Linked DNA regions of Arabidopsis thaliana. The protein of the gene in region 1 interacts with the protein of each later gene in a pairwise test. Each region holds a gene or a part of one and is shown in the gene's direction. Other genes may lie near its edges.

Region 1 (3,754 bases):
GTTTTTCGAAGATCGACACTTCAAAAGATTTGGCTGGTGCTACTCCACTGTTAAAAAACCTATTAGAAGGAGTGGAGATGACTGAGAAACAATTAGCTGAGGTAAAAACGTCCATTATATATATCTTTTGAGGTAAACAATGATAATAAGACTGGTGCTGAGAATGCAATTTTGTATGTAAAACTGCAGGTGTTTAGAAAAGCTGGTTTGGTGAAAGAAGATCCTTTAAATGAACCGTTTAATCCAAACAGACATAACGCAGTGTTCCAAGTCCCAGATGCTTCCAAGCCAAAAGGCACAATTGCTCATGTCCTAAAGGTACTAAACTATTCAAAGGATTGCTCTCTTTCTTGCTTTAACTCTTAAGCCTATGTTAACTTTTAGAAATCCACACAATATCATGGATTCTCTGCCATCATTTTATAACTGTTTTTTTTTCTTCCATATTTGCAGTCTGGATACTCATTGTACGATCGAGTTATAAGGCCAGCTGAGGTTGGTGTTACTTGCGCCGTGGAGAATCAAGAAGGCGGCAAAGAGTCTGCAGCTTGAAATACTTAAAACATCGAGAGTTAAGCTTTTGTTTTTAACATCTTCATGAGTTCTTTTTTTAGTTAATAGTTCTCTTTCTTTGCATATTCATTGGAGGAACAAGATTCCCATAAGGTAGCATGACTATGCTCTGTACTTCCAGGGAAGCCCTGGTTCTGTAACTTTTACACAAATTCATAAGCCAAAGCCAAACTCTTGGTAAAAGCTTCAAATCTTACATTTATATAACTTCTTCCTAACTTACAAACACACTACATAGAGATCTAGAAGACGTCAAAGTGGAATAACCGCCTAGCATAAGATACAATATAAGACATCATCACAGCTGAACACATTTTATAGTTGCTCATCCCAAATCAATATGATTCTCTTCATTCTTCAGTCCCTTCAGAATTCAGACACAGTCCCAGATTCAAATTACCAGTTTTTGCTTCCTGCAGAGTAAGTTTATAAAACACAAGTATGAACAAACACTAACCACTTTCATTACATTGCTTGAGTTTTAAATGAAGCTTACCTTAGTTTGGTCTGAGTCTGTTAGGTTCATGTCTAGCTCAACAGCTTTAGGTAATGGAGATTCAGTGTCGAATTCTTCAGTCTCTTCAATTTCAGAATCCTTAGAAATCACTTTTTCTCTATGCTCAAGCATCGCAATCTACACAAAATCAATCATTTTCCACTAATCCCACACAACTAAAACCCTAATTTAATGATTTGGGGAAAAAAAACTTACTGGAGCGTATCTGAATCTTCGCTTAGGCGACTCCTCTGTCTCACCGGAACCATTAGCGTCGGAGGCAGTAACCGTCGCTGAGGTAAGTGGAGTCCACTTATGGAGAAGTAGATGGTGTGGTGAGTTACTGTTGTTGCTGTTGTTACGACCGTTGGATTTAGATGCTCTGAAAACACCGACGGATGAGGTTGAGACACGTACCCACTTCTTCTTCCATTTCCTTACACGGCCACTGAACACCGCCGTCGCCGCCGGACCACTGTATCTCGATGACGTCCGGCTCAATCTCGATCCTACACCTTCCATTCTCTTCTCTCTCTTCTCACTAGCCGGGAAAATAGTTGCTTTATCTATCAGCTAGAAAACGCTGCGTTTTGATGTGATATAGCCACAAACGCGGCGTATTTATGTGATATGGCTTCAAAACGCGGCGTTTTAGTGAGATAATTGTTAATTAGTTGAAACGTAGCGTTTTAAAGAGAGATTTGTTGATTAGTCGAAACGCAGCGTTTTAAGGAGATAACTCTGTTTATCTGAAAGTAGAAGCAAGAAGAAGTGGCGCTTCATTCATTAGCTCTGTTCAGTATAAGCAAGAAGAGAGAGCGAAAATGGAGCTCTGTGTTATCAGCACGACTACGACGGTGAAGGCAATTAATCCGTTTCTTCCGTCTATTACACGTCGTGTTAGTTCCCGTCTCTTCCAATCAGATAGTGTGCTACAGTTTGGTGGGAGGTTGAAGAAACCAATTAGCAGGCCTTTGGACATGTCTTGTGTCTCTAGAAAAATTGGATTTTTCGGAGATTTTATGTCACATGGTGGTAATTTTAGGCTATTCGCGGCGGCTTCTCCAGCGGTTGAAACTAGTGTAAAGGAAGACAAACTTCCAGCTGATCTTAAGGTCACGGAGACTGTACAGGCGAATTCAAGTGTAAGAGACTTTCAATTTTTTTTTTGTCTATTTGTTGGAGAATATGTGTAGCATTGTGTTTGGTCTGAGTTTTGACATGACTTGAAATTTGATTTACTGTTCAATTTAGGTGAAATTGAGTGTGGAAGTTCCAGAAATTGTCTGTGAAGATTGTTACCAACGAGTCCTTACCGAATTCATGAAACTCTCAAAGGTAAACTAATATTCATCTTACATGAAGATGAAATGTTGAAACTTGATCCATGTAATGCTTGCTGTTGATTGTGATTTTACTTGGTTTGAATCAGGTGCCTGGATTCCGTCCTAAAACAAGAGTTCCAGAGAATATTATTGTTGGTTTCGTTGGGAGGCAATATGTTCTGAGAGCAACTGTTGAATCTATCTTAAAGAGAACACTTCCTCACGCCATGGAATCAGTAAGTTTTCAAATGTTTATATTAGTTTGTTTATGTTTTTCAATCTTCCGCGGTTTAATATAATGTTTTGGCCATTTGGCAAGAACAAGTCTTGTGGTGTATCTAAATTCGGTGTTTGTTGTCTTGGAACATTATGCATATGAGATTTTGGTTTTTGTAGGTGACTGGAAGGGCTTTAAAAGACTCGATACAGATTGTAAGCAGTTTTCCAGATATGGAGAAGGCTTATTCTAAGCTCAAGACTCTTAGGTTTTTGTTTCTTCATCACATATACTAAAAATCTTTTGGAGTAATGATGCTAACTAACTTAACATGTTTTTTTTGTTTTTTTTTTTCTGATTTTCTCTTGTTCCTTAGTTATGAGGTGGTTGTTGATGTTGTACCTGAACTAAAATGGAATCCTGAGGATGGGTATAAAAATATGAAGGTCGTTGTAGAACTAGGCGATGAGATAGATGCAAAAAAAGCTTGTGAAAGACAACTAAGACAGAAATACAAGTCTCTTGGTGCGTTGAAGATTGTAACCGAGCGAGGGCTACAGGTAAAGGAATGCATAAATTCCCCATGTCCTTGCATTGTTTTCTGAAACTAGTGTAAGGTTGCTAATTGCTGAGTTAAAATAGGACCGACCTTTTACCTCGTTAGTCGTTACATTTAAGTTCATCCACTATAGCTTATTATAGATTTAAGTTTTTTTAAAATAATTTGGCTATGAATCTGGCTTCATTTGTTCGTAGTTAACTCTGCAAAGATGATATAGTTGCTAGAATTGCTTTTTTATTATGTCCTAAAACCGTGTAGGTGGGAGATCTAGCAGTTGTTGATATTTCTGCTACAACTATAGATGAGGACGGGTCAACGGGTCAAGCGATTCCAGATGCTGAAAGCAAAGGTTTTAGAACTGTTATATTTCAACAGAGATTTGTGGTTGAAATCTCTTAGTCCATTGAAATCATTGCTTGCAAATGAATACTGAGATTGGCGGTTGTGTGAACAGGTTTTCACTTTGACACTGAAGAAGGGAATAGATTACTTCCTGGATTCCTTGATGCAATCATAGGAATTCGAGCAGGCGAATCAAAGTCATTCACGCTTGTGTTTCCTGAATCATGGAAACAAGAAAG
Region 2 (3,754 bases), on another chromosome or scaffold:
ATAGGTTGAGAATCAACTCTAAACCAAAGAGTTGATCCTTTTGTTTTCACTCTCTGCTGCATGAGATAGTGAAAGATTTTCCCAGAAAATCTGATTCCCTTCTTAGCCTTCATTTTTGGTCCCAATTCAACTAGAAGACCAAGAAACGAACTTCTAATCTTCTGAAATAAACACTCGCCTAAAGCTTCCTCTACTTTACTAACTAAATTCCAATCCAAGTATTGTTGAACGGTTCCCAGTGCAATAGATTCCTCACCTTCTCTGTAGATCTGTTCAGGCAATGTAAGGATTTCACTCTCTGAATCCATCTGCAAAACATGTTATGAAACATCGTCAGATCTACTATAAAATCGACTATAAAATCGATTATAAAAACGGTTACCGTCGGATCTATCGATATCTCTGGGGATTGTTTGCGTCGTAGAGAAATGATCTGAATCCGTCAGCGAAGAACAGATTTATCGGAGAGGAAATTCGTCAGCGATTTTGGGGTTTCTCGGAGAGAAAATTTGTCGGCGATTTTGAGTGAAATCGGAGAGGAAATTCGTTGGCGATTTTGAGTGAAATCGGAGAGGAAATTCGTCGGCAATTTTGAGTGAAATCGGAGAGGAAATTCGCCGGCGATTTTGAGTGAAATCGGATAGGAAAATTCGTTGGCCAAAACGAAGAAGTTTGTGCCAAAACGAATTGTATTGTGAAACGAATGTGAAACCTAATCATTCAGTAAGGGTAAGACAGTCATTTGCCATATTAGAAAGGGTAGTTTTAAAAATGGCCTTCAGGAAAGGACATTTTTACAAAAGGTTATTAGAATAAGGGCAGTTTTGCAAATCTCCCAATTAAATATTAAAGTATTTTGAATCAATGGCATTTTTGTAATTAATCTAAACCGGAAGGATATTTTTTGGTTTATATTTTATTTCTCTTTCCTATTTACGTAAATAACATATTTTTATGTATAAATTCTTAATATTCTGTTTATCCATGTATATATTTTTAACTCACCCTATAGTTTTCTAAGTAATTTAAGTATTTTGGTTACATTTGGTTATATTTTGGTAAAATATAACTAATATATTTTTGGATAAACTAATCAGGCATCTCGGTTAGATTTAGGTATAGATGAGTAAAAAACTCGAACTCGACCTGAACCCAAAAATATTTTGAGTATTTTTGATTATTTTTCAATTCTTACTAAAATAACTAAATCGATCCAAACTCAAACCAAAACCGAACCAAAATTTTAGAATACATGAATGGTTTTTAACTTCATACCTAAATAGATCCGATACTCAAAAAAAAAAAGAACCGAACAGATATGAGTACCCGAATATCTACACCTGCCCAGTATTATTATTATTATTTTTTTTGAACAAACACCGGTACTATTATTTTACCAGCTAATTTTTCTCCCTTTAAGAACGTTTTGGACCTATTGGTCTATTGGATACAAAACTATTGTATTCATTTTAAATTTTTAATGGGTCTTCTTTGTTAATAAAGGCCCATTAAATATACTATCCAGGCCCATTTAGTCCAACTACTTATTACACTGTTGATTAATCGCCGTTTAGATATTTTGCATTGGAGAGAATCTTCACCGTTCAGAAAACTGAAGATCGAAGATCACCAAAACCGGCCAAAAAGTATAGTACACGTCCGAAGATTCTAGATCCATCATGCCATTTGCATTGCATGGCCTAACTCTCGTAGAAAACCCAAACAAATTCTCCCCCACACAAATAATGGGACAAAAACCAAATTAAACCAAATTGTTTCCCTATTGAAGAAAATAAAATCTTCCACAAATTTTATGAATTTTTCATAAAGTCGGCAACTTCACACGAGTCCAGGTCGATTCTTAAAACAATGATCTTTAACCATCCACGTGTCAAAATCCCACCTTAGCTTACCTCATTTGTTCTATTCCAAATACCTATTCTATCCCTTGGATCTTGACTTATATGTTCATAAGAAAGTGTACCAGATAAGGGTATATACGTCATTTACAGTCCAGCTCAACGGTTATAAAATCCTAATTCGTGAGGTTTCTCTGAAGAACAAACACAAAAATGGCGACGGTACCATTGTTCACCCAGTTTCCCTGCAAAACCCTAAATCCAAGCTCATCAAACACTAAACACCAATCGAAATCTCCGATCCTACTACCGATTAACTCAATAAATCGGCGATCGGAGATTGGAGTCTCTGTTCATCGGCCAGATTTCAAAATCCGAGCGACGGACATCGACGACGAATGGGGTCAAGATGGAGTGGAGAGAGTATTTGCCTCATCTTCAACCGTATCGGTAGCAGATAAAGCAATCGAATCCGTGGAGGAGACGGAGAGGCTAAAGAGATCACTAGCGGATTCGTTGTACGGAACAGATCGAGGTTTAAGCGTATCGAGTGATACGAGAGCTGAGATCAGCGAGCTCATCACACAGCTCGAGTCTAAGAACCCTACTCCAGCTCCTAACGAAGCTCTGTTTCTCCTCAACGGCAAATGGATCCTCGCGTAAGTACTTTTAGTTCTGATACTCTCCTAGGCACGGCATGTAATATTAGTTTTGTCCCAAACATTACTCAAACCGGTGATCTCTAAGCTTCGTCTAGGATCTTTACCAATTAAGTTAATGATACTTTAAACTTACCGGTGGAAGTTTAATTTCCCGGTGAAAACTGTTTAGTTCCGTTATGAATGATTTGATTTTGATAGTGAAAAGCAAGTTGTGGTTACAAAGAAGATTTAATTATGAATTTGGATTATGATTCTGTGTGTAGTTATGAGCCTTCGTTTATTTTTAGCCGTTATTGTTATGAATCAAGAACTTAGTTTTTAAGTGTTTATCTCGTGAAGCTACACGTCGTTCGTGGGGTTGTTCCCATTGCTCTCACGAAGAATTGAACCGTTGGTTAAAGTGGATGAGATCTCACAAACCATTGATTCCGATAGCTTCACCGTTCAAAACTCTGTCCGGTTCGCTGGTCCGTTTTCCACAACGTCGTTTAGCACCAACGCTAAGTTTGAAATCCGAAGTCCTAAACGTGTCCAGGTAAATCAAGAATCATCCCCTAAAACCACAAATGGCAAATGCTAATGTTACATAACCTAATTGTTTTTTTTGTTTTGTTTGTTGTAGATTAAGTTCGAGCAAGGTGTTATAGGGACTCCTCAGCTAACGGATTCGATTGAAATACCGGAATCCGTGGAGGTTCTTGGTCAGAAAATCGATCTCAATCCCATTAAAGGTTTACTTACATCAGTCCAAGACACTGCTTCTTCAGTGGCTAGAACCATTTCAAACCAACCACCATTGAAGTTTTCTCTGCCTAGTGACAACACGCAGTCGTGGCTGCTCACAACTTATCTCGACAAGGACCTTCGGATCTCGAGAGGCGATGGTGGAAGCGTCTATGTGCTCATCAAAGAAGGAAGCTCTCTCTTAAACCCTTAAATCATCATAACTCTCATCACATCCATAGTAACATATATACAAGTATAGACCCATCTGTCTATGTTTACTAGTGTTGTAACTGTTATATAGCTTCTTTACCTGTTGGAGAGTTATAAACTTATAATGGATGTTACTCTTGGTATACTGTACTACAATACATATACATAACTACATACTTGAACAGGCCAGTTATGGGTTTGCAACAGCAACACTTAGCATTGGTTCAAATTTGGTATACTAGGAGGGTTTGCATTCTGTATGGCATTCGGTTTTCCGGTTTAGTTTCAGTTCGAACT

Evidence for each region. Proteins that work in one complex are often made in the same cells at the same time.
Region 2: the proteins of AT5G55220 (region 1) and FIB interact in a two-hybrid assay, tested with the Arabidopsis thaliana proteins (one large-scale study listed by BioGRID).

The regions. Positions count from the first base shown.
Region 1 is NC_003076.8:22,395,784-22,399,537, forward strand, and holds the start of AT5G55220 (trigger factor type chaperone family protein), read left to right. Parts: upstream 1-1,673; 5' UTR 1,674-1,893; coding exon 1,894-2,214; intron 2,215-2,323; coding exon 2,324-2,407; intron 2,408-2,501; coding exon 2,502-2,630; intron 2,631-2,790; coding exon 2,791-2,879; intron 2,880-2,987; coding exon 2,988-3,171; intron 3,172-3,431; coding exon 3,432-3,522; intron 3,523-3,627; coding exon 3,628-3,754. Other genes in the region: MGE1 (Co-chaperone GrpE family protein), read left to right, coding at 1-101, 190-318, 454-552; AT5G55210 (uncharacterized protein), read right to left, coding at 924-986, 1,070-1,207, 1,286-1,591. UniProt on the Arabidopsis thaliana protein: Involved in protein export. Acts as a chaperone by maintaining the newly synthesized protein in an open conformation. Functions as a peptidyl-prolyl cis-trans isomerase.
Region 2 is NC_003075.7:1,930,089-1,933,842, forward strand, and holds the start of FIB (fibrillin), read left to right. Parts: upstream 1-1,794; 5' UTR 1,795-2,072; coding exon 2,073-2,518; intron 2,519-2,860; coding exon 2,861-3,056; intron 3,057-3,143; coding exon 3,144-3,458; 3' UTR 3,459-3,754. UniProt on the Arabidopsis thaliana protein: Probably involved in light/cold stress-related jasmonate (JA) biosynthesis. Contributes to the protection of photosystem II (PSII) against light stress.